7 linked regions of the Xenopus tropicalis genome follow. The protein of the gene in region 6 purifies or fractionates together with the protein of the main gene of each other region. This does not show direct contact. Links are inferred from orthologs where the notes say so. Each region holds a gene or a part of one and is shown on either strand. Other genes may lie near its edges.

Evidence for each region.
Region 1: the proteins of uri1 (region 6) and ppp1cb purify together in Homo sapiens (affinity purification with mass spectrometry; 3 studies listed by BioGRID and IntAct, with this or other methods). This does not show direct contact. The link is inferred for Xenopus tropicalis from reciprocal best matches to the Homo sapiens genes URI1 and PPP1CB.
Region 2: the proteins of uri1 (region 6) and uncharacterized protein LOC496835 purify together in Homo sapiens (affinity purification with mass spectrometry; 4 studies listed by BioGRID and IntAct, with this or other methods). This does not show direct contact. The link is inferred for Xenopus tropicalis from reciprocal best matches to the Homo sapiens genes URI1 and POLR1D.
Region 3: the proteins of uri1 (region 6) and ppp1ca purify together in Homo sapiens (affinity purification with mass spectrometry; 7 studies listed by BioGRID and IntAct, counting the BioPlex papers as one, with this or other methods). This does not show direct contact. The link is inferred for Xenopus tropicalis from reciprocal best matches to the Homo sapiens genes URI1 and PPP1CA.
Region 4: the proteins of uri1 (region 6) and polr3e purify together in Homo sapiens (affinity purification with mass spectrometry; 4 studies listed by BioGRID and IntAct, with this or other methods). This does not show direct contact. The link is inferred for Xenopus tropicalis from reciprocal best matches to the Homo sapiens genes URI1 and POLR3E.
Region 5: the proteins of uri1 (region 6) and polr2b purify together in Homo sapiens (affinity purification with mass spectrometry; 3 studies listed by BioGRID and IntAct, with this or other methods). This does not show direct contact. The link is inferred for Xenopus tropicalis from reciprocal best matches to the Homo sapiens genes URI1 and POLR2B.
Region 7: the proteins of uri1 (region 6) and ppp1cc purify together in Homo sapiens (affinity purification with mass spectrometry; 9 studies listed by BioGRID and IntAct, counting the BioPlex papers as one, with this or other methods). This does not show direct contact. The link is inferred for Xenopus tropicalis from reciprocal best matches to the Homo sapiens genes URI1 and PPP1CC.

Annotation. Positions count from the first base shown.
Region 1 is NC_030681.2:5,972,041-5,974,786, forward strand, and holds the end of ppp1cb (serine/threonine-protein phosphatase PP1-beta catalytic subunit), read left to right. Parts: intron 1-649; coding exon 650-784; intron 785-1,974; coding exon 1,975-2,079; 3' UTR 2,080-2,246; downstream 2,247-2,746. UniProt on the Homo sapiens protein: Protein phosphatase that associates with over 200 regulatory proteins to form highly specific holoenzymes which dephosphorylate hundreds of biological targets.
Region 2 is NC_030678.2:155,277,705-155,281,814, reverse strand, and holds the start of uncharacterized protein LOC496835, read left to right. Parts: upstream 1-1,310; 5' UTR 1,311-1,316; coding exon 1,317-1,339; intron 1,340-2,691; coding exon 2,692-2,766; intron 2,767-4,110.
Region 3 is NC_030685.2:488,231-492,256, forward strand, and holds the start of ppp1ca (protein phosphatase 1, catalytic subunit, alpha isozyme), read left to right. Parts: upstream 1-1,226; 5' UTR 1,227-1,296; coding exon 1,297-1,351; intron 1,352-4,026. Other genes in the region: npipb11 (nuclear pore complex-interacting protein family member B11), read right to left, coding at 865-869. UniProt on the Homo sapiens protein: Protein phosphatase that associates with over 200 regulatory proteins to form highly specific holoenzymes which dephosphorylate hundreds of biological targets.
Region 4 is NC_030685.2:25,090,252-25,093,751, reverse strand, and holds part of polr3e (RNA polymerase III polypeptide E), read right to left. Parts: intron 2,935-3,500; coding exon 2,819-2,934; intron 1-2,818. UniProt on the Homo sapiens protein: DNA-dependent RNA polymerase catalyzes the transcription of DNA into RNA using the four ribonucleoside triphosphates as substrates.
Region 5 is NC_030677.2:92,024,917-92,029,112, reverse strand, and holds the start of polr2b (DNA-directed RNA polymerase II subunit RPB2), read right to left. Parts: upstream 2,801-4,196; 5' UTR 2,608-2,800; coding exon 2,589-2,607; intron 2,499-2,588; exon of another isoform or gene 2,422-2,498; intron 1,848-2,421; coding exon 1,775-1,847; intron 1-1,774. UniProt on the Homo sapiens protein: Catalytic core component of RNA polymerase II (Pol II), a DNA-dependent RNA polymerase which synthesizes mRNA precursors and many functional non-coding RNAs using the four ribonucleoside triphosphates as substrates.
Region 6 is NC_030680.2:71,279,342-71,283,315, reverse strand, and holds the start of uri1 (unconventional prefoldin RPB5 interactor 1), read left to right. Parts: upstream 1-1,174; 5' UTR 1,175-1,318; coding exon 1,319-1,393; intron 1,394-3,974. UniProt on the Homo sapiens protein: Involved in gene transcription regulation. Acts as a transcriptional repressor in concert with the corepressor UXT to regulate androgen receptor (AR) transcription.
Region 7 is NC_030677.2:162,949,433-162,952,932, reverse strand, and holds part of ppp1cc (serine/threonine-protein phosphatase PP1-gamma catalytic subunit), read left to right. Parts: intron 1-935; coding exon 936-1,067; intron 1,068-3,500. UniProt on the Homo sapiens protein: Protein phosphatase that associates with over 200 regulatory proteins to form highly specific holoenzymes which dephosphorylate hundreds of biological targets.

The sequences.
Region 1 (2,746 bases), on a different chromosome or scaffold from region 6:
CTCTGGGCTGCTGGCACTTACCTGCACTTAGGGACCCACTCACTATATACTGTGTTTATATAGAATATAAATGTAACAGTATAAGGCTAATTAGTAAATAATTCGGATTCATATAACATGGCAGCTCAGAAACCGGTGCAATTAGCATCAGAGTTTAGTAATCAGCCCTGTAGCATCCGTTTATATGACAGACCAGCCTCATTTCTGCTTTATAATTTGCAACGACCCCTAAGCTCAGCTTCTCAGCAGCTCCAGAGAGTATGTGCAGTGTCCCGGACAGTTCTAACAGAATCCAAGATGGAGAGCTCCTCTGACAACTGTAAAAACCTATATCTTCACTACTATAGACATGCTGAAACTTTTGGCTAGTGCAGTCAGTTTAGTATATATTTATTTCTTGCCATATTCATTTTTAGGGTTTAGTTCTCCTTTAAATGGCAGGATAGCCATAGCAGCAACACCAGTTTACAGGCAGAATGGCAGCCTCAGGAGATCCGCACGAGTGAATTGTTGCAGAAAAACCTATATCCTTTATTTTGCAAGTATATTGCAGTATTCTCCATGACCTGCGGCTTTACTCGCCTTGTCAGGGGGAACATATCTGCTGCAGTTGGCATCACCAGGGCCTATTTTTTTTCTATTTTAACAGGTGGTAGAAGATGGGTATGAATTCTTTGCCAAGCGCCAGCTGGTCACGCTCTTCTCTGCTCCCAATTATTGTGGAGAGTTTGATAACGCCGGGGGCATGATGAGCGTCGATGAGACCTTGATGTGCTCTTTTCAGGTATTGGCTGCTGTGGGGCACGTATTGCTTGGTAACAGCACTCCACTATTAATAATTCAATTTTTTTTCTAAAATGTAGGTTTTAAAATTGAATGACTGTTTAATTCCTCCCTGTGACCTGGGGCTTCTGCTGAGCTCTGTATCCAACATTGTATTCACTTAGAGTAATTAAGCAGCTACGAGGATTAAATAAAGCTACTTCCTATTTCAAACTTGCATTTTACATAAATAGTTGGAGAAAAACAACTAACATTGTGGTGTACTGCTTAAAAATAATAGAATGGAACTGCCCTGTATATGTTGGCCATATACTGCCAGACCCACTAGTTTTGCAAGATCACCAAACAAGCAAATATGGGCCCAATTTGGCCACCCACGTGCTGTGCCCAATTGCGCTGGTCCTATCGATGGCCCTGGGGCCTATGGAGGCACGTCAAGGTTCTATTAATGCACCAGTGCGGTACTCACCAGGCGGGGTTTTCAGACCTGCCTGGTTTATATCTTTTCAGTCAGATATTGGTCAGGTTGGCCTTTGTGAGCCCCATACATGGGCCACTAACCTGCCGGCCCGCTTGGCACAAGGTCTGTTTATTGTTTAACAGAGGAGGGGGTTTACTGTCCCTTTTAAAGTTGAGATTTTATAATATATAAAGTATGTCATAATATAAACAGGTATGGGATCCATTATCTGGAAACCTGTTATGCAGAAAGTTCTGAATTACGGAAAGCTTGTCTCCCATAGACATCATTTTAATCAAAAAATTTGTTTTTAAAACTGATTTCCTTTTCCTTTGTAATAATACAGTACATGTACTTGATCCCAACTAAGATATAATTACCCCTTATTGGGGCAGAACAGCCCTATTGGGTTTATTTAATGGTTAAATGATTCCCTTTTCTCTGTAATAATAAAACAGTACCTGTACTTGATCCCAACTAAGATATAATTACCCCTTAATAGGGGCAGAACAGCCCTATTGGGTTTATTTAATGGTTAAATGATTCCCTTTTCTCTGTAATAATAAAACAGTACCTGTACTTGATCCCAACTAAGATATAATTACCCCTTATTGGGGGCAGAACAGCCCTATTGGGTTTATTTCATGGTTAAATGATTCCCTTTTCTCTGTGTTGCCTTAATTTACAAATACACTAGCAGCAGTGATGATATTTTATTTTTGAATTTTTAGATTTTGAAACCATCAGAAAAGAAAGCAAAATACCAATATGGGGGACTGAACTCCGGCCGCCCAGTGACGCCTCCTCGGACAGCCAACCCTCCAAAGAAGAGGTGAAGCGGAAACCCGCCGGATGAAGCACCATGTGATCTCCATCAAGACAAACTCCACCTTATAATAAGTGTGCACTGTAAAATCACCCAGCCATTCTGACCCCCCTATTACAATATCACATGCATTTACCTTCCTGAGACAGGTAAACGATTCCCAACTTTAAAAAAAAATTATTAAAAAAAAAAAAGGGCAAAATTACCCCAAATTGTTGCAGCATAACCTAAGCACCTTCTGCAGTCGGAGCTGGCGTTGCCGACTCCATGGCTGCACTAACAATGCTGAGGGTTCTCAAGAGCCCTGATTGGCGGGCAGAAATTTAGGGATTATGAAAGCCAAAGTTCCCTCTCATTAGTCGCTGTGCCGGCTGGATCTTCAGTGCATCCTCCAATTGACCGTAACCGCAGGAATTAAAAGAATTGTAAGTTTTTGTCGTTCCCCAGACACCCAGTGCTGGAGGAGTCAGCAGTGCACGGTGCCCACTCCTCTGGCTCCCAAGGGGGGGTTTCACTTTACCGTTGTCTCTAGAGTTCACCGCTTTTCCTTTACTCTCTGTGTGTGCGCGTGTGTATTTAGCCGTCATTTCCGGGTTGCACCTACTGTCTCACCATTGTGTGCTCTGCAGTAATTCGCCCACGTTTCCCCCTATGCTTTGGTTTTTTTTCTTCTCGTT
Region 2 (4,110 bases), on a different chromosome or scaffold from region 6:
TACAGAGGCATCATTTTAATCCACTTCATCGGAGTGTGGCTCACAAGTAAAAAAGGTTGGGGATCCCTGCCTTAGACTATAGGCCCACTCTCCGAACTATTTTTTCTCACCCACCCTCTTTATTCTCCTAGTCTTTTTTATTTACACTATTTCTCCTCTCTGTTCCCATTCAGAAATAGGGAATGGCCATGAAGCAGGCCAAATGGTCAGGAGCAGGAGGGCCCACCGACACCTGGGCCCACCGGGAGTTTTCCTGGTATCCTGGGGGGCCAGTCCGACTGCCTGGGCTGCTGCACTTTTTGAAAAAGAGAAACACCATTCCTGTGTAGCAAGTAAGGGACTAGCACAGTGATCCCATTTAATGTTACTCCCTGAGGCCTTAATGCAGGCACTTATTTTTGAATTCCTGGCTTGGAGGCAAAAAATGAAAGTGTATAAAAATAATTACAATATAATGAACTGTTGCCCTGCACTGGTACAGCTGGTGTGTTTGCCTCAGAAAGTCTATAGTTTATATAAACAAAGGTGCTGTGTAGCCATGGGGGCAGCCATTCAAAGGAGAAAAGGCACAGGCACATAGCAGATAACAGATAAAACCCCATTATATTCTACAGAGCTTATCTGTTATCTGCTATGTAACCTGTGCCTTTTCTCCTTTTTCAAGGTTGAATGGCTGCCCCCATGGCTACACAGCAGCTTATTATATATAAATTATAGTAGAGTTACTGTAGCAAACACACAACTTTACCTGTGCAGGGCAACAGTACATTATATTTTAAATACTTTAATACACTTTCATTTTTGGCGTTACTGTTCCTTTAACCGCGCTGCCAACCTACAGGCATTAGTGACAGGGAGGAATGCAGAGTGGAAATTGTTTTCTCAATACGCCAGTATTTGGCACAATCTCTGAGGTTTTTCAAGTTTGTTTTGTTCCCCAACTCATTTTAAAGTTACTAACAGGTAAAAAAGTTAGGGTATCCCTACACTAGAACCACTTTGCTGTGTTCTCCAACTTGCCCCCCCCAAAACCCCCTATGGTTTTGCGCCAGAGTTTGGGTAAACTTAGCACAATCATTCCACAACTTTTTTTAACCATTGATGACAGTCGTCGTAGTGTTAATCAATATTTTACTATCCATGTGATCTCACAGCGCTGCCCAAAACTATATATATATATATTCCCTTCAGCACTAGGGAGGCACTCCGCAGCTCAGTGACGCCTCTGGCCCCGCCCATTCCGGAAGTCGCTGCGCTGCTTGGCGTTGTTGCCATCTCGCCAGTGTATTTCCGGGTTCCTTTGCTGCAGAGCAGAAATGCAGGAAGACGAATTGGAACGGTACGAAGTATATGCGAAATAGAAATAAAATTGCATGCTGCTGCTTGTGAGCTGTCTATGTTTTACCCCAGTGAACGCTTTATAGTGCAGAGACTGCTTGGGTAGTGGGTGAAGGATAAATAATAATATATACATGAATTGTTATGGGACAGCTGTTGCTGGGGAAGTGGGGACTGATTGGGTGCAGTTACTTTTGGGTCCTTGTTAGGAATACATAGGGGGAGATTTACTAATCCACGAATCCGAAACCGGAATGGCAAAAATTCAGATTGGAAAGAAAATTTTGCCGTCTTTTCGTCGCCGCCGCAACTTTTTCGTATTTGTCGCGACTTTTTCGTCGCCGACACGACATTATCGTATTTTGCGCAACTATTTCGTCGCCGTTGCAATTTTTTCGTATTGAGCGATTGTAAACGGCGGAAAAACCAATCCGATTTTTTCGCGACGGCGACGAAAAAGTTGCAGAAAATATACGAAAAAGTCGCAAAAATACCGATCATTGCGAAAAAAACGCATGCGGATGCCTTCGGACCGTTCGTGGATTAGTAAATCTGCCCCATAGTGTTGATCCGTAGGCTATAGAGAGCTCTTACTGGTACTGAAAGCCAGCTGGCCAGACTGTGGTTCATGTATATCACTGAAAGGCAACCAATAGCCCTTTTTGTATTGTGGAATTACAGCTTCCAGGGTTGGTTGTTGCAGTGGGAGTTAAAGTTAAACTACATCAATAAAGCAGCAATTAGAGATGTGATTTTGGTTTTCACTTTTTTGTAAAAAAAAAAAAAAATACTGGCCTTTCTATGTAATTATCTTTCTTCCCTATTAATAACATTGACATCAAGCATTATTTTGACCGGCTGGGTTGGTATAATACCAAGCAGCCATAGATGGAATTAGGATTGTGCACATTTACATGTCTCTGGGAAGCACTGTGCATGGTTCAGGATTTGTAGGTCCCATAGATTTTGCTTAGAACACTCTCAGCCCACTTATAATAAAATAGTAAACCAATAAAAGCAGTTTGGTCATGCAGTTTTTGGTGCCGTTGCCATATTAATACATATTCAGTGTACTTGCCTGGAGACCAAAAGAAGAGACTGCTAGTTGGAGGCAGATTTGTTGAAATAATGGAATTTTTAAAAAAAAAACGTAAAGTATACTAATGTTTAATAATGTTAATAGGCCTTATTTCATGCGTTTGATACATTTTTTGTCCTCTTTAAATTGGTGTAAAAGAACTTTCCCCCCAAAACATGTGTGTAGATTTTTATTTATGTAGCAATACTTATATATGTTGGGCTGTACAGCCGATATTGTTAATGCTAATTTCTTGCTCTTTTATGCCGATGCAGGAAAGCTGTAGAAGAGCTTCTCAAAGAAGCAAAACGTGGCAAGATCCGAGCTGAAACTATGGGACCAATGGGCTGGTAAGTGGTTTCTTTATACAATTTTTAATGATATATGTGCGTGTAACACTATTGTATGGTTAGTAACTGTGTTCATATTAAAAATACTGGTGTGTTTATAAAACTTGAAAAAACTGTTCTCTTCCTTTAAAAAAGGAAATGGGTAGTCAATGGAGGGAGGTGCAAACCCCTCATACAGTTATTATAATCATCATTATTATTTTCACTTAAAATACACTGGCCCTGTGTACTATTCTTGTGAGGCCTGTCCTGTGCCTATGTGCAGCATAGTAAAATGTGTAATTCAATGTGAAATGACAGGTAGGCTTCTCTTGCACTTAAACACAGAGTAGGGCCACTGCAAAGATTCAGAGAACAGCAATAAGATGACTGCATGGCGCTAATAAGGATAATACCCCAAGCCAGTCATAGGTAAGTGATTATAATCTAGGAATCCCAAACCCGAAATATGCTAATTAGGAAGAGAAAGGGGGAAAAATTGCAGCGTGCGCAGCAAAAAATTTTTCCCCCTACCATATAATCCTTACAAACATGGGCGTCCGCAGAAAATTTTCCAAGGGGGGGCAAGTAAGCTAGCATCATCCTGCAACAGACAAATATATATATATATATATATTTAAAAATATATATTTTTTTTTTGCAGGATGATACTAGGGGAGGCTAAAGATGGCCCATACACAGTCCGACCTACAGCTAATGTGACACTTAGTGGATTCGCTGCTGGCGTAAAAAGTTAACCTCCCAACTACCTCTTGCCGTTCCCACTGACTACCAGGGATACTGTACAAAAGTGCGGGTGGGGGTGCTTTTTTTTTTTTACCCTAAAATGTTTAGGATGTAAAAGTATTCATACGCGCACGCGGGATCTGCAAACATTTGTGTTTGTGATCAGTTAGCTTAAAGGGGTAGTTCGCATTCAATTCACTTTTATTTTTAATGGTTTTTCAGTTATTTAGCTTTTTGTTCAGCAGCTCTCCATTTGGTATTTCAGCAGCTATCTGGTTGCTAGGGTCTTATTTACCCTAGCAACCAGGTAGTGGTTTAAACAAGAGATGGGAATATGAATAGTTAAGGGGCCTACTTAGAAAAATAAGTAATACAAAATTATAATAATAATAAAATTGTAGCCTCACAGAGCAATATTTTTTGGCCCCCATTTGAAATCTGTATAGAGGCAGAAGAGAAAGGCAAATTATTCAAAAAAATTAATTAGAAAGACCAATTGCAAAGTTGCTAGGAATAGGCCATTTTATAACATACTAAAGGTTAACTTAAAAGTGAACCACCCCTTTAGATGTGTTTATGTTAGTTTTATAGCAAGAAAGGCAGTGGGTACTGACTCCC
Region 3 (4,026 bases), on a different chromosome or scaffold from region 6:
CTGAGCCACAGAGATGCCTGACACCCCAACACTGAGCCCATAGAGATGCCTGACACCCAACACTGAACCATAGAGATGCTGACACCCCAACACTGAGCCACAGAGATGCCTGACATCCCAACACTGAGCCATAGAGATGCCTGACACCCCAACACTGAGCCACAGAGATGCCTGACACCCAACACTGAGCCATAGAGCTGCCTGACACCCCAACACTGAGCCACAGAGATGCCTGACACCCCAACACTGAGCCACAGAGATGCCTGACACCCCAACACTGAGCCACAGAGATGCCTGACACCCCAACACTGAGCCACAGAGATGCCTGACACCCCAACACTGAGCCACAGAGATGCCTGACACCCCAACACTGAGCCACAGAGCTGCCTGACACCCCAACACTGAGCCACAGAGATGCCTGACACCCCAACACTGAGCCATAGAGCTGCCTGACACCCCAACACTGAGCCACAGAGATGCCTGACACCCCAACACTGAGCCATAGAGATGCCTGACACCCCAACACTGAGCCATAGAGATGCCTGACACCCCAACACTGAGCCATAGAGATGCCTGACACCCCAACACTGAGCCATAGAGCTGCCTGACACCCCAACACTGAGCCACAGAGCTGCCTGACACCCCAACACTGAGCCATAGAGCTGCCTGACACCCCAACACTGAGCCATAGAGATGCCATAGAGCTGTCCCATAGCAGAGGAAGGATGGGTTCGGGCTGAGGGAGATGAGTAGATACAGCCTATTGGGGGAAGAAGAAGGGGGGGGGGTTGCCATGGCTACCGGGGGCTGCTGGGACCGGTAGTTCGGTAAAGGGCGGCGTTCCGCTCTCTAGGGGTATGTTACGTCATTTCCGTTCAGGCTTCCGCACCCCTCCCTCCCCCGGCTGACTGTTGTTCTAGCAGCGGTTGCCAAGGATACGGGCGGAACCGCGCAATAATAGGACCCGCTCGCTACTGACGTCACCGGCCGCAGATCTATAGGCTAGGAGTTTGCCGTTTCCCAGCCAACCAATCAGCGCCTTCCTGTGCAGCTGTGTAGCCACACCCTTTTACGCAGCGGAAAAGGCGTGGCGTAGTTCGAATTCTTAGCTCACTGCCAACCAATCAGTAGCCGCTAGGAAATTTCACGCCTGCGCAATCCAAATCCTCCGTTTACAAGAGAGGCGGGGCGCGGCGTTAGCGTGTTTGCGTCATTACCCGGCGGCGAGAAAACACGTGACTTGCTAGTACTTAGCTCCGCCTACCGCGTCCGCTTCTTCCTCGCACACAGACACCGATGGGGGACGGAGAAAAACTCAATATTGACTCCATTATCCAACGGCTCCTGGAGGGTGAGCCCCGGGGCATGCCGGGAGGGGTTAGCGGGGGCCCAACCGGGAGTGGGGCAGTTACACTGTAATGGGGGGGGGGGGGGAGTGAGTGGGGCAGTTACACTGTAATGGGGGGGGGGGGGAGTGGGGCAGTTACACTGTAATGGGGGGGGGGGGGAGTGGGGCAGTTACACTGTAATGGGGAGGGGGGAGTGAGTGGGGCAGTTACACTGTAATGGGGGGGGGGAGTGGGGCAGTTACACCTGTAATGGGGGGGGGGGAGTGGGGCAGTTACACTGTAATGGGGGGGGGGAGTGGGGCAGTTACACTGTAATGGGGGGGGGAGTGGGGCAGTTACACTGTAATGGGGGGGGGGAGTGGGGCAGTTACACTGTAATGGGGGGGGGAGTGGGGCAGTTACACTGTAATGGGGGGGGGAGTGGGGCAGTTACACTGTAATGGGGGGGGGAGTGGGGCAGCTACACTGTAATGGGGGGGGAGTGGGGCAGTTACACTGTAATGGGGGGGGGAGTGGGGCAGTTACACTGTAATGGGGGGGGGAGTGGGGCAGTTACACTGTAATGGGGGGGGGGAGTGGGGCAGTTACACTGTAATGGGGGGGGGGAGTGGGGCAGTTACACTGTAATGGGGGGGGGAGTGGGGCAGTTACACTGTAATGGGGGGGGGGAGTGGGGCAGTTACACTGTAATGGGGGGGGGGAGTGGGGCAGTTACACTGTAATGGGGGGGGAGTGGGGCAGTTACACTGTAATGGGGGGGGGAGTGGGGCAGTTACACTGTAATGGGGGGGGGAGTGGGGCAGTTACACTGTAATGGGGGGGGGAGTGGGGCAGTTACACTGTAATGGGGGGGGGAGTGGGGCAGTTACACTGTAATGGGGGGGGGAGTGGGGCAGTTACACTGTAATGGGGGGGGAGTGGGGCAGTTACACTGTAATGGGGGGGGGAGTGGGGCAGTTACACTGTAATGGGGGGGGGAGTGGGGCAGTTACACTGTAATGGGGGGGGGGGAGTGGGGGCAGTTACACTGTAATGGGGGGGGGAGTGGGGCAGCTACACTGTAATGGGGGGGGGAGTGGGCAGCTACACTGTATGGGGGGGAGTGGGGCAGTTACACTGTAATGGGGGGGGAGTGGGGCAGCTACACTGTAATGGGGGGGGAGTGGGGCAGCTACACTGTAATGGGGGGGGGGAGTGGGGCAGCTACACTGTAATGGGGGGGGAGTGGGGCAGTTACACTGTAATGGGGGGGGGAGTGGGGCAGTTACACTGTAATGGGGGGGGGGAGTGGGGCAGTTACACTGTAATGGGGGGGGGGGAGTGGGGCAGTTACACTGTAATGGGGGGGGGGAGTGGGGCAGTTACACTGTAATGGGGGGGGGGAGTGGGGCAGCTACACTGTAATGGGGGGGGGGAGTGGGGCAGTTACACTGTAATGGGGGGGGGAGTGGGGCAGTTACACTGTAATGGGGGGGGGGAGTGGGGCAGTTACACTGTAATGGGGGGGGGGAGTGGGGCAGTTACACTGTAATGGGGGGGGGGGGGAGTGGGGCAGTTTACACTGTAATGGGGGGGGGGGGGAGTGGGGCAGTTACACTGTAATGGGGGGGGGGGGGGAGTGGGGCAGTTACACTGTAATGGGGGGGGGGGAGTGGGGCAGTTACACTGTAATGGGGGGGGGAGTGGGGGCAGTTACACTGTAATGGGGGGGGAGTGGGGGCAGTTACACTGTAATGGGGGGGGAGAGTGGGCAGTTACACTGTAATGGGGGGGGAGAGTGGGGCAGTTACACTGTAATGGGGGGGGAGAGTGGGGCAGTTACACTGTAATGGGGGGGGAGAGTGGGGCAGTTACACTGTAATGGGGGGGAGAGTGGGGCAGTTACACTGTAATGGGGGGGGAGAGTGGGGCAGTTACACTGTAATGGGGGGGGAGAGTGGGGCAGTTACACTGTAATGGGGGGGGGGAGAGTGGGGCAGTTACACTGTAATGGGGGGGGGGGGAGGAGTGGGGCAGTTACACTGTAATGGGGGGGGGGGGAGGAGTGGGGGCAGTTACACTGTAATGGGGGGGGGGGAGGAGTGGGGGCAGTTACACTGTAATGGGGGGGGGGGAGGAGTGGGGCAGTTACACTGTAATGGGGGGGGGGGGAGTGGGGCAGTTACACTGTAATGGGGGGGGGGGGAAGGGAGTGGGGCAGTTACACTGTAATGGGGGGGGGGGGGAGTGGGGCAGTTACACTGTAATGGGGGGGGGGGAGTGGGGGCAGTTACACTGTAATGGGGGGGGGAGTGGGGCAGTTACACTGTATACAATAACAATAATACCTGTATATTTATATCTACTTAACCCCCCCCCCAACTGACTGAGCCCATGTCCCACAGGGGAGGGATATTTCCCCTTTAATATCACACACACACAGTATCAGGGTTCCTATCAATCTGAGGGGAGCGGCCCTGTCCCAGTGGGTCAGGCTGTAAGGAATGGCCCAATAGAAAGCTGTGTATTGGGGGGGTGGGGTCAGGGTACCAGTGAGCATCATGTGTTCCACTCAAGGTGTAATTTTTTTGGGGTATGGGCCTATGATTGGTCCCTTTTTGGGTGGGGTATGGGGGAGGGGCCTATGATTGGGCCCTTGTTGGATGGGGGAGGGGCCTATAATTGGGCCGCTGTTTGA
Region 4 (3,500 bases), on a different chromosome or scaffold from region 6:
GTGGTTTGAAGTGGGTGTGGTTTCAAAAAGGGGAGTGGTCAAAACTGGCTTCCATTAGCGACCCTCCACCATGTATGCTAGAGAAATTCCGGCCCTCGGCACCGTAGAAGTTGGACAGCACTGGTCTAAGTAATTAATTAAAATCTAGGTGTGATTAGAGAAGACTGAAGGACACTTTCCCACGAGCTTCCAATCTAGATAAATAGAAAACATAATAGTGCTATCCCTTACAGAGATATTTGTTGACATCCATCACAGAGAATTAGAAGCTCCCTATTATAATGCACTGCAATAATCTAGGAAATTGGCAAAGACAGATGGGAACAGAGCAAACAGCAATTAATTAAAATAAACCTAAATGACATGATAATTTATTAATTTATTTTCCATTTAACTATAGGGCGGAAGTTGTGGTGGGGCAGATGGTGGAGCACAGAATCCTTACTAGGACAAGGCCCTCTCTGCACCAGCAACCCCAATGGTTGTGGGGTCTGCTGTATAATAATTACCGTATATACTCGAGTATAAGCCGAGGTACCTAATTTTACCTAAGAAAACTGGAAAAACTTATTGACTCAAGTATAATCCTAGGGTGGGAAATGCAGCCGCTACTGCTAAGTTTCAATAATCAAATTATTTAATAAAAGGACACTCACAAGTGCTTACATGACTACCATATTAATAAACACAAGGTATGGGCTGGAAAATTAGGCGCATCCAACATAAGATAACCATATGCAAGGTTGTACAGGTTAATATCTCATTTAATTTTACATACATATTGAAATTGTGATGTGTACATTTGTTATTTAATTCTTAAAGGCCCATTTTCTTCAAACTGTGGCATATCCCACGTAGCGCAGCGCGAACCCCCCCTGTTACTAACTTATGCAATTTTAAGTTTACATTCAGACCTAAGAGATACGTTATAATAATACATGTGGCTGTTAGCACCACAACATGAATGGTAATACCTATGCCCAATAGGAACTGCATTGCAGAACTGCATAATAGACAGTATAAGCAGCAATATCACCATCCATCCTTGTCCAACCGGCGCATCAAATACAATTAGCAGTGATCTATTGTTCCGTGTGTTATTACCCTTAATGACAAACTACAGATTTAATTACAACCCATTACAAGAGAAGTACTTAATGCCACTAGACTTTAAGATATGACTAAGAATATGCTGTTGGTGGAAGGGAATATACTTTATGACCCACTTTGAATACCCTGGTGTAGTTGGCAACCTATGAAGCCATGGCACAAGTAAGCACCGTCAGATTAGGCAATGCAACCTCTTATTGTGCCCCCTCCCCCCCCACACACTGCACCCTAACCAGCTACATAGTATTTATATAATGTGTTCTACCCAAGATGTACAAATAGAAAAGTACTTGCAGATAAGCGAGTCTCAGGAACAGCATAGGAAGAACCTCACAGAAGTCAAATAAATGAAAATCAGGAAGCTGTTTAATTGCAAATGGCCATCTCCAGTAGTCTAACCTGTAGTCTAATGTAGGTGATAGCTCATATAATTCTGTAAATAGGTCACATATAAATAGTTCAATGAATTCATGTGCTAATACATAAGTCAAGTCATTGGTCATGACATTTAAAAAAAAAGAAAAAAAAGAAAAAATCTAATGCAGAAAGGAGCTATTTTGTTGCACCATCTTGCATATAATAGCTCACATTTACAGCTCCCACTCCTCCCTTGCACTCTCCTACCTTCTTACTAACAGTTTGCCAAGTTTCCTTGTTGAGGGCTTTTATATTTGACAGCCATAAGCAGGAGCCAGTAGTGGAAAGTAGTTTTTATGGGCAAATAGAAACTCTTTACACATGAGTTGGGAGTTGCGTGTTCCAGAAAAAGGGGGCCAGAATCACTGCAAAAGGGGCTATACAAATTGACGTGGTGTTGGCAGACCTACAGTCTAACCTGTAGTCGAGACGAGGTAAGGTAAGTGTTAAGCAGAGGGTTACCTTTCAGCATAGCCCCATGCACCACACCTGCGGATATTCGTTTAACACAGCGGAGGACGTGCACAACCGAAACGCAACCCCCCCCCTGCACCGCGTCAGCACACACAGACGTCGCGCCTTGCGCGTGCGCGACGAGTGTGAGGAAAGAAAACAGCACAGAGCAGTTACAAAGGTGAAAGAGCGATGGAGCTGAATGAAAATGACTCAGTGGATCACAGTTGCACGGTTACTCACCAGTCTCTGCAATGTCTCAAACAATTGGTTATGCGCGTCCTCCGCTGTGGTAAAGGAACTACCCGGGGTTGGGGGTGGTGTGAGGCTGCACATACGTCCACGGGGGGGGGGGGGTTGGGAGCAAGCGAGCGCAGAACGTAACTACCGTATATATTCGAGTATTAGCCGAGGGTGCCTTTTTGAGCACATTATTGGTGCTGAAAAACTCTGCTTATACTCGAGTATATACGGTATACCATTAATTATTGCTGCAGTAATTTGGGAGTGTCCAACTGCACTTTATCTTCCATCACACAAGCTTCTGCTGCACCTGGCTCCTCCCCTTTTAAAAAGACAAAACATACTTACCGATATGCAACATTTCACAGCAGGTCCACTGTCTGAACTGCATTTGACTTGATCATAGTGCATTTTGTATGACAGTATAAGACTTTATCAACGTCCAATTGTGTAAAATTTGTTTTGTTTATCATAAGTTTTCCACAGTCTGTTCTAAGTAGCCAGTTTATGGTCTCCGCACTTTGTATTGGTTCAGGGTTTAATAGCACCATTAAAGCATTGGTTTATAAGGCAAAAGCAAGCTATATATACATACGTTGAGTAGGTGCTTGTGTCATCATTAGATGTACCATCGACATTTAGAGCAATCTGCTCTCCTTTGCTGCGACAGTAATTTGGACTCACTGTATTAATGGCAATTTCCATTTCCATCTGGAAAAAGACAATTCTGAATGTAAACACCCACACCAGAGAAGAACCTTTATAAAAACAAGTGACAAAACTATAAAAATGTGCATAAACACACATGGCAAAAGTTAATGTTATATTTTATTAAAGAGATAGACATGTTCCTATGAAAACTAATTTAAACATGTAAGTATTAATAGGAGTGTGAGCACACTTTTCCCCAAAAGAAAAGTGGTCTCAAGTCACCCCAACACACTGACATGGCTGCACGTTCTGCAGGGTTGAGGCAGCACAGGGGCGGTCTTAGCCTCGAAACGTTGCATGTTTCGCAATAAAGAATTTTAAGGGCAGAGCCCTGGATGAAGCCCTTGAGTGCCGTTGCTTTTTTTCATTTGCAGCACAGGGGAGCACATGTCTACAGACAGAAGTTTGTGGGCCCACTGATTCTTTTACAATGAGCACTAGATAACTTATAACAAATGGAGCAATCATGGCTAAAAACAAAAAGCCCTAGTTAAGTCCTTTTTTTATGCTCTAATTTTAGCATGCACACTGCTGTAAATAGTACAAGTTAAGGACATATAAAATTG
Region 5 (4,196 bases), on a different chromosome or scaffold from region 6:
GAAAATGCATGTAAAGCATTACAAGTTTGTGTTACAAAACAGAATATGTACTATAATGCAACAAGATTTAGAAAGAAGCTGCAGATAAAGCTGGCTGCTTCTCCAGTAAAAAAAAACTAAAAAAAAAACACATATGCGCAAAAGATCTAGAGGTGCAGAAGATTAGTTATCACAACACTGGTTCATCCAGACCAATCTGGTTTTATCCCCTCCAAATCCACGGCCATCAATATAAGAATTGATTTCTTATATTTAATTTACAAATAGCACATGACAATGGTGGAACACGCTTAGTGGCATCCATTGACACCGTTATAGCATTCAATTCCATGGAATGGCCATACCTACGGCAAGTATGATGTACAGTAAACCCACAGAGAATTAAACCCCTCTATCCCCTCTCCTGTTTGTCTGATTAGGAGAGCTATGGGTTTTATTGCCAGAGCAAACCCCCCAGGTTCAGGGACTAAAATATTAAGGCGGAGAAGATCTCCCTTTATGCTGATGATACCCTCCTATACATAGCAAACCCAGGAAACTCCATGTCAACAACTATATTTTCTCCAGACATAAAACAGAAAAAATATGACCCCAGACCCAGGGTTAAACTAAAGTGGGAGGAGAGCGGTCTTCACAATTCAACTCAATTATGCACCATACCTACCTAACACCAAAGAATCTGCACTTAATGGGTCACGCAGAGCACTCCAGATGCATTTGCTGCAATGTCTCTGATGCTGACTTCATACATTTATTATGGTACTATCTGGATTTCAGAGGTTCTGGAGATAAGTCATACACTCTCAGATGTACTCTCCTAACTTAAAGTTTTAATGCCATTTATATGTCTGTTGGGTTTGTTATCCAGGACTGCCTCCAGACTACTTATGCGAACACTTTTGTTTTACGCCAACAAAACAGTTGCCCTACACTGGAGGAGTCCTTCTCCTCCATCACTCCATAAATGGATAAAACTGGTATATTCCTGGCTGGAGCTCTACAGATTAACCTACCAGGCCAGAGGATGTCTGCATAAGTTCGAGAAGATATGGAATTATTGGCTTAACTCGTCTGTAACTTAAGTCTCCTAAATGCACACTCCAACTTCTACCTCTCTTCCTTCTCCCATTATATGTTATTAATTAATAAAAAGTTACTTTTAAAAAAAAATGCTGTTACCACTGGGCTGACAATGACTAAACTAACAACACATGGGCATGTTTTCTGAGGCTTATTTACTTTTAAAAGAAAACAATCAAGAAAAAAAGTTTCCAAGGTGCTTTTTTGTCCTTACGACATCCAGTCCAATCCAAATATATATTAATCTTTATTGCTATAATATCTGCATGATTACTAGTGGATCTATAAGCATGTTGGAAAGTGTCTTAACATACTTCACAGTCCAGTGGAACCACCCAAACTCAATCACAAAGACCATATTAATGTGATAGAGCCTTTCATAGGCGACTATGTGCCACCCTGGTGCTATGTTCCTGATGCCATTTTTCTGCATTACTACTGCAGAACATGATTGGAATCTGCACTAGAAAAGCTAACATTTCTAGTTAAAGTACCAGTATTTAGTTACCAGGGTTTGATTTCTGCTGCCCCTTCTGCTCAGAAACATGGTTTTCTGAGACAAGGTTCTGTGTAAATATTTTTACATCTATATCAAGTAACATGTCAGGCAGTTAACTATTAACATATATCTACCAAAATGAGAATTCTTGTTGTGTCATAAGCAAAATAAAAAATACAAACCAAACAGTCTTACCTAATAACAATCCAACATGCCTCCTGCCACAGGTCTGGAGTGATTTCATCATCATCTTCATCATACTGCATATCTAGCAAAGCAAAATATAATTATGTAGGAGTAAAACATCTTTTACACCATCCCCTTTAAAAGTAACCAACAGAATGGGTAGCCTTCACAAAACATATGTTTTTTTACTTAGTTAATAATACTAATTAACAGTATAGTTAATTAATAGTACTTTCTAAGTTTTTCTAAAATTTAAGTTTAAATAGGAAATACTCTATTTCCCAACTCTCATGTTTCCCAGGACCACTTGGTAAGCCAGTCTGCCAACTTTTTACAGATTGATTATATAGGTTTCACAGCAGTTCTAGGGAAATGCCAGAAACTAATCTTAAAGTAGAGGGAAAGTTTAAATCACTGGGCAACTGATAGGCAGGTGCTCCTGTGCTCCAGAAGGCACATGCCTGCATGTCTGCACCCCAATGAAATTAAGATGAAGAAAGATTGAGTTTAGAATTTTTGCAGAAATACCCTGGGGCAGTGCAGTTTTCTGCTAACACAAGACAGGTGTATCATGTAAGCTATTACAATCAGTTGGGGGATGCCTAACATTTAGAATATCTTGCAAATATTATCAATACAGACAAGCTGGTACTTACATAAAGAAATGCCAAATGCTTGAAGGATGGTAACATCGTCTGAAAATGCCAATGCCTTACCAATCACAATCTAAAACCTATTAAACCATGATTTACTTCATTTGTTGGCGACAACAGGTAGCGAAAAGAGAAAAAGCATTGTGTCGAACAAGATACAGCGCCCTTACCTTCATCAGCATCGTACATTTTGAGAGAGTATAAGTCACAGTATATACTAGGAACAAATATGCTAAACCTTCAACGCGCTGCAAACAATCAGGATCGCCACTGCGTGAAGAGACCGCTTGAGTTTTGGAACAAGAAGTGACGAAAACAAAACTCATCAACACTGCTTCCGGTTTCAGAACAGGAAGTGACGAGAAAGACAATGCGCTATTTTTTCACATTTCTCTAACGCCAATGTTTTCGGGTGGTTGCAGCTAGTTCCTTATCCTCTGTAAGAACATTGCGGCATCACGTGACAATACCATGTGATCGCACTTTCGAGGCTAAGGCTATGTTTTAGCGGCAGATTGAAAAGAATCAAATTCTGCAAATGAGATCTTGGCTGGCTCAGGGAGATGTATGGAGAGAGAACACTTAAGGGAACATACTGTACTGTAAACACTTAATCCTCAGTGAACTGTTATGCGGGAACATATGAGGCTCATTTACCAAAATTGGGAAAATTTGCTTGTGGGCAGTAACCTTGTGGGCGTTTTTTAGCCAGCTGCATGTGGAACAATGAAAGAAACAATTTGATTTGTTGCCATGGTTGCTACCTATGGCCAACTTTGCTGGGTGTTGATAAATGAGTACTGCATACCCCCCAACTTTGAAAAGCAGAAGGAGGGACAAAAATATCTGCCACGCGTAGCGCGGCACAATTGTTAGGCCACACCCACTTTTGGCCACGCCCCCACCCAAACAGGCCCATTTTACAAAACCACGCCTGAAAAGCATAACATACACAAAGCGCACCATAAGACAGACACGGTGGCCCCAATCATTTTATGACATATTGTGGCCCTAAGGATTTCATTATGCACTATGGCACCTGTATTTAATGACAGACTCATGACGGACATAGGTAGGCAGGGCCCCCTAAAATATAGGTAGCCAGGTGTTATATTTTGCATTGGTGCTAGAGCAGGGACCCCCTAAAATACTGCTGGTCCTCCCCCGGTGTCCCCATACTATGGGCCGCTCCCAACTGCAGCATCCTCCCCAACATCCTTCAGCTCCCCCCAGCATCCACCCAACATCCTCCAGCTTCCCCCAGCATCCCACCCAACATCCTCCAGCTGCCCCTTCCCTTCCTCCAGCTCCTCCCAGCGTCCTCCCCAACATCCTTCAGCTTCCCCCATCGTCCTCCCCAACATCCTTCAGCTTCCCCCAGCGTCCTCCCCAACATCCTCCAGCTCCCCCCAGCGTCCTCCCCAACATCCTTCAGCACCTCCCAGTGTCCTCCCCAACATCCTTCAGCTTCCCCCAGCATCCACCCAACATCCTCCAGCTCCCCCCAGCGTCCTCCCCAACATTCTTCAGCTGCCCCTTACCTTCCTCCAGCTCCGCCCAGCGTCCTCCCCAACATCCTTCAGCTCCCCCCAACATCCTTCAGCTCCCCCCAGCATCCTCCCCAACATCCTTCAGCTCCCCCCAGCATCCACCCAACATCCTCCAGCTTCCCCCAGCATCCCACCCAACATCCTCCAGCTGCCCCTTCCCTTCCTCCAGCTCCTCCCAGCGTCCTCCCCAACATCCTTCAGCTTCCCCCAGCGTCCTCCCCAACATCC
Region 6 (3,974 bases):
ATAGTGGACCTAAAAAATTAATAAATTATAAAAATCATAATACAATGAATCTGTTGATCTGTTTTGAGATGCTTGGGGTCAAAAGCGCCATAAAGGCCAAATGATTTTTTGACTGGAAAGATGAAAAATATTGAATGCTAAATATAAAACAAATACACAAAAAATAAGTCTAATTAAAAGGTTACTTAATAGAGGTCCAGCTATAATTTACTAAATGTTAATAACACGAGGAACATCTGAACATCCCAAATAGCATTGGTGATTGGCTCAACGCACTGTAGACTGCAGCTGAGCATGCTAATGATCCAGTAAGAATACAGAGTATGTACTGACATTTACATGTGGGAATGTGGGAGTGAAGTTAACAGTTGCAGACGTGACACACGCAGCAGGTGCTAACACAGTATCACAGTAATACAGTAGCACAGAAACACAGTACGAGAGTAGCACAGTTTAACACAGACAGTAGTACAGTAACACAGTAGCACAGTAACACAGACAGTAGTACAGTATCACAGTATCACAGTAACACAGTAGCACAGTAGCACAGTAGCACAGTATCACAGTAGCACAGAAACACAGTAGCACAGTAGCACAGTATCATCACAGTAGCACAGTATCACAGTAACACAGTATCACAGTATCACAGTAACACAGTATCACAGTAACACAGTAACACAGTAACACAGTAGCACAGTAGCACAGTAGCACAGTAGCACAGTAACACAGTAACACAGTAGCACAGTAGCACAGTAACACAGTAACACAGTATCACAGTATCACAGTAACACAGTAACACAGTAACACAGTATCATCACAGTATCACAGTAACACAGTAACACAGTATCACAGTATCACAGTAACACAGTAACACAGTAACACAGTATCACAGTAACACAGTAGCACAGTAACACAGTAGCACAGTAACACAGTATCACAGTAACACAGTAACACAGTAACACAGTAACACAGTATCACAGTATCACAGTATCACAGTAACACAGTAAAACAGTATCACAGTAACACAGTAACACAGTAACACAGTATCACAGTAACACAGTAAAACAGTATCACAGTAACACAGTAGCAGAGTCAGGCTGATGAAAGCTTTCCTCCTTGGAAACGTACAGTCCCCACGTGCATTTGCTTCCTAGTTACGAGATTTCCCAGGTCTCATGCTCGCGAGAGTTTGAGGTGAATTTCCTTCCGTGCCTGAGTGGCTCATGCGAGTGGGACTCTCAGAGTCGGGGCCCGAGAAGGTGGGACCACGGTCGGTTCCCGAGTTCCGGGGCAAAGGGGTTTGCGACGGACGGAAAGCATGGAAGAGATAAGGGAGGGTACGAAACTGCTGAGCTCCAGTGATGTGGCCAGACTTCAGGAAGAGCATGGAAAGGTAAACAGAGGACGAGTGCCATGTTACACATGTGAATGTGGCAGAGCATAAGCCAGCCAGGGCAGAGCGCTTATGCACTAGGGTACAAGTGCGCCCAGCGGGCTTAGGGCAGCCTGTACCATGGTTAATATAGACAGTATGGGCTTGTTCCCCAGCAAAGAGAAGAGCACACAGTTGGAATAAACCACTTAGCAGCACATCACTCATTTGCTTTTTATCACTGTAACTTTTAGACTAGTCGGAGCCCATTGTTTTGTACAAAATGGACTATATTTGGGCATTATGACACAGGGCCATTATGACACAGGGCTGAGCATTGGCCATCAGGAAGGTAGCACAGGAAACTGAGAAGCAAAACAAATAAAGGAGGATGTATGTTATTGAGCAGGATGTACAGCTACTGAAAGTTATATAAGTTCCACTTGCACCAGAATATGCAGCTTAGTATTACCATTGGCGCTGCCATAAAATCTGAAAATGTTAAGGTGTAAATGCTTAATCCCATAGGGAACACAGTACTCTGTCATGTCTGTGCACATTTGACAGGTACCCTGTTTATAAGTTAGGGTCAGGCAGTGAGACGCTTCCAGCATCTTTTTAACAGGAGGGCTACAGTATGCACAGCCATGATCTAACTCAGCCGGTTGACTTTGCTAAGCATAATGTACCACTGTGACCTTTGAGTTGACTCAAATTCAGTGTTGTGCTCCATAAGAAATAAAAGTTACATTGGGCATAAAATTGACAACAATTCAGTAAATAAAGCTTGTTATCTTATAAAATTGCAGTTGTCTTAAAAGTGGCAGGACTTGCACCTTTTTTGAGCAGTAATGCTGTGCCAGCTATTAATGCAAACACCAGAGTACCTCTTGTAGCAGGAACAGTCTAAATGTCATAGGCAGTGCTATTGGTATGGCATGAGGCATGTAAATACCTTCTGTTCTCAGAAGGCCTCACACTTCATGTCTTGCAATGTAAAGGACAATTTGGCTCCTTTTACCTCTTCTCATCCTAACCAGGTCAGTTCCTCTGCTTAGCAGTTCACTTACTAGTATTACTGGAATCGTAGTTGAGAGCAAAGAGGCAATAATATAGTTATCTTGGACTCTACAGTGTTCATTGAAGCTGTGTAAGGGTGAAGACACATGGAGCTACTTAGTAGCAGCTACTTGTAATGGCTACTAAACTCCAGAAAATACCATACCATAGATAATACTGAGAATTGCCTCTTCTAACACACACGTAGAGACAATTATCAGTAAATGATCAGCACTGTCTATTTTTGTAGCTGCTACTAATAGCTCCTTGTATCTTCACCCGTATTGTTATCCCTTTAATAATCCATGCTGAAAGCTTGTACCTGAATCCTTTGCCTACAATTAGAAAACTGAAGAGCTAGCCTAGGAAGGATGTGAGCATAGTGTTCCTAATGGAAGGAGTGAGCAAGTTTTGCATATTTTTAACATATTGTAAATTTGGTGGGCTGTAAGCACAATGACTGAGCATATTTTGTACTGGTGCACATGCAGTGCAGCAAGACAAAAGGGTTAATTTGCAAAGAATTATAAGCTTATATAATGCTGAATATGACATTCTTCCAAGCTTCTGATTAGAAGCTAAGAGCTTTAAATCTCTAAGTACAAAGTATAGACTGAGGTATTTTAAGAAGGAGTTTTGGATGATTCCGATTCTCAAGTCTTCTTACCCTCTGGTAACACAAGAACACAGGCTGGGGTTTATTTACTGACATAGGGCAAGTGTGCATTGGTTCAGTAAAACGTTGCTGTTGATCAGTTCGCTCATTGAATCAGTTTACTGGATGTAGAATACCAAAGCCCTTATTTGGGTTCCTATGGGCTAACATATTGGTATAACTAGTAATTTTTGCTTGTATTGCATCATCTGTAGAGTTAGGGCTAATAATCCTATTACGATATTACAAAGCAGAATTAGAAATTTTCTGATTTCTCACTGTGTATCACACTGTGCACTGTTGCACAGACTTTTTTTGTTTTTAGTGCATTTGTCACTGTATGTGTATCGAATAAGTCATTTATGTAGTTATGACAAATGTCAAATGGCACATATATGTTTTTGCCTTTAAAATTTATGCCCACTTTTTCTGTACATGCATTTGTCTTCTGGTACAGTATTATGTGTCCCATTGCCCATCAATATAGTTATCTAATTTTGCCCTAAAAGCATGGACCCACAGGAGTGGAGACAAATGCATAATCTAGAAAGAAATCCAGAATACATGTAAAAAGTAATTTGTAGTGAGCCTTAAAGGAGGACTAAAGGAATATTGTCATGTTTTTTTTTTTTCTCCCAAAAAACACATCCATTAATAGAGCTTCTCCAGCAGAATCCTGCACAGAAATCCACATTTGTGCTGCACAGAAATGTAGGTCATAGTAGCTGATTAATAACCATTTCTCAATGCAGAACACATTGGTTTCTATAGTGACATTTATTGTGAATATAATTAATTACAAATATGCTTTATATTAACAAACTAGAATTCACAATATACTGTGCATTGTGAATCAGTCCCTAAGCAAAAGGTGACTGACAGCAGCCC
Region 7 (3,500 bases), on a different chromosome or scaffold from region 6:
GCAGAGTGCCATTGAGCCCTATGGGAGACTTTCCTTGGGCCAGGTTGGAGCTGCACAGTGCCATTGATTCCTATGGGAGAATTTCCTTGGGCCGGGTTGGAGCTGCAGAGTGCCATTGAGCCCTATGGGAGACTTTCCTTGGGCCAGGTTGGAGCTGCAGAGTGCCATTGATTCCTATGGGAGGCTTCCAAAATCATGCACAGAAGGATCAAAGTCGGAAAGGGTTGCCTGCATTTTACGATTGTTCGGTACGAAAATTTCAAGACTTTCGGATCGGCAATACGATATCGTGACTAATGAGATTTTTTCATAAGCATATTCGTGATATTTGCGATCTTAAGAAATTATCGTATCCAATCCGAATTTATCCCATTTGGGATTCGAACTCATGTTTTCATTTAGTGTATTTATGTATGTATCTTACATCAAGCAAGAACATAGTCCTACAAACTGCAGTTGTCTATGAGGCTAATACATTGGTACAAAAATCAACTTTACATTGATTGGTCATTCACATTCTTGGTTGCTATTTTAAAATTGTACTTGTAGTGTCAATATAGAGTGGTGCCATTGCAGTATGAACATCCTTTTTAAGTATTCTGTTGTACTAATTTGCATTATTTCTCCCCATAATATGCTAGAACCAGGCTGACTGTTTAACATATTAGTCAATTAGAAACCAGATAAAGCGGTGACTGGCTACCTACCTACCCTTGCTTTTGGGTGAGGATTATTGGTTACAAGTGAGTGGTGTGTCTTGATGGACCACAGTGGCTCAGCAGCATTTTAAACCCTTATTGAGGTTGGGCTTCATATATTCATGACTACAGGATGTGATTTTTCTAAAATATCAACCCTTTTTAGTATACTATTTTCAAAATTGAATGTCATGGTTTATTATACCCTTTATGTTGAACCATTTAATTTTGTTCTAGTTAGAGGATCAAAACCGGGAAAAAATGTTCAGCTTCAAGAGAATGAGATTCGAGGGCTCTGTCTGAAGTCTCGGGAAATCTTCCTCAGTCAGCCAATCTTGCTTGAGCTTGAAGCTCCTCTTAAAATATGTGGTAAGTGCCGTGTTTAATTACCAGTGGTTATGTTGGTAGAGTAGATTCCACTTACCTGCCAGTTAGCAGGGCTGCACAAGTTTGATCTGGTCTAGTCTACCTATACATGTCACTTCCTGCTTATGGTAGACATAATGCTACCGTTCATGAATAACCTAGTTCTGACTGGAAACTTATTAGTCAAACCTGTACAGACATCAGAAATGTGTGCAAACTCTCTCTGCAACAACTGATTATCAAGCATCTCCACCTAATGGTGAGCAAAGGCCACTGCAGCTATTAATAAATCTCTTCTCCCTAAGGAAGCTATAGCAATAGTATTGGCAACATGGCAAATTCACTTATATTGATAAATGAACCTATTAATGCCAAATTACTCATCCCTAAATGGTAAATCTTTTTTCAAGAAATGGTTGGCTCAGTTACAAACAGTAAATGTATTTACCTTTTTAGTCTTGTTGGCAAAGGGGGCCTAACCAACCATTTTGTGTGTTCTTGTATATGCCATCTGAACCTGTGAGATGAACTGAAGCTCCTCTGTACCAACAGATGTTTGATAAAGTACAGATTTGGGATTCCTCATTTGGAAATCCATTATCTAGAAAGCTCTAATCTATGGGAAGACCATCTCCAAGTCCATTTTAGGGTGAAGATACACAGAGCTACTAGTAGCAACTACTTTTTCATGGCTACTAAACACCAGAAAATACCCTGCCATAGACAATACTGAGAATTACCACTGCTAAAACATATGTAGAGACAATTATCAGTAAAACATCAACATTGTCTATTTTAGTAGCCACAGCAATTAGCTGCTACTAGTTGCCCCATGTGTCTTCACCCTTAGGGCTGTGACAGACGGGGAGATTAGTTGCCCGCGACAAATATCCCTTGTCACGGGCGACTAATCTCCCTGATATGCCATCCCACCAGCTAGAATGTAAATTGCCGGTTGGATGGCATTTCGGGGAGATTAGTCACCCGCGACAAGGGAGATTTGTCGAACGGCGACTTATCTCTCCGTGTGCCACAGCCCTTAAGCAAATTACAATTTTTATTTTCTCTGTAATAAATAACCGTACCTTTTGTTGCACAGTGATTTATTTTGTCTGCCTTTATGTTTGGTATAAAATGTTTTTCCCCCCTTCTCTATTGCTGGCCAGCAAACCTTTTTTTCTGTCCACTTTATTTCTCTGCAGACAAAATAATAAACTATGCTATCTGTTTTACCCAGCATTACAAAAATCGCCAAAAATAGTACTTGCCATGTGTGTCTGTTTCCATTCAATACAATGTGAGCAGGAGACATGCACTGAGCTTAATTGGCAATTGGTAAAACCTGCAGCAAGTCTCCTCTAAACAAAATGTTTCTCTTATATGCTAATGACATTGTTGTGCCTGTTTTTTTTTCTATTAATAAGATTCTAAGCTTATAGAGCAATAGAAAGCAAAAGTTATATTTATATACATTTTTTTTGTTAATAGTTTGTTTTGTTGTAACTAAATGTGCCTTTAAAGGAGAAGGAAAGGTAAAAACTAAGTTAGCTTTATCAGAAAGGTCTATGTAAATACAGCCATAAGCACTCGCAGAAACGCTGCACTGACTTCTCTGTGAAAAGATTTCTTGTGTCTAATTCCTGTGCCAGAGACACGCAGCCTTCTGCTGTCTCCCCTCTCCTGCCCCCCCTCCCTTAAGAATGCTAAGAACTCCCTCCTCCCCCCCCCCCCCCTTAGGAATGTGGATTTCAGCCAATCAGTAGGAAGCTGACTCAGTCTAACTGAGCATGTTCACTTGGTCTGGGTGTCTGTGCAGGAGTGAAGCATTATGGGAACTTTCTTTACACAGCTCAGCGTTTTTTCTTCCTGTTTGGCTTCTGATCATCTGTACAGGACAAATATGGGGAGACTTAAGGGCACTATTGAGAGAACTGAAGGTATGCCTGCAGCTTGAGATTAACTCTTTACTAGCCTTTCCTTCTCCTTTAAGAGCATGGGCTGCTGGGAAAGGCAAACTCACATACTTAAGTAACATACATTAGAACTCCAGATCTCAGAGTATAGGGAAGCTGCCTGAAAAGAGGTAACTGAATGTGCGGTGTTTTATTCTGGAGTTGGAACTGTGCTTTCTGTGAAAAGTTAGCAAAGACGGTTTTGTTTTGATTTTTCGCTCTGGAAATAAATTTATCTTCCAACAACTGCCAGCTCCTGATCTTTAAAAAATGCTGTAAGTACCCACACCCTAACAACCTTGTACTTTATTAGGTTAGCTTTATGCTATGGTGGCCCACATGATAAAGACCCCCTTATCCACAAAACCCAATTTCAAGTTTGGCAGATCATAGATCCTCTATCTGAATAATAGAGGTCTGATAACTGTTAGAGGTAATGCTTGGCTACTTCCAATGTGTAGACTGGCTTATTAAAAAAAAAAAA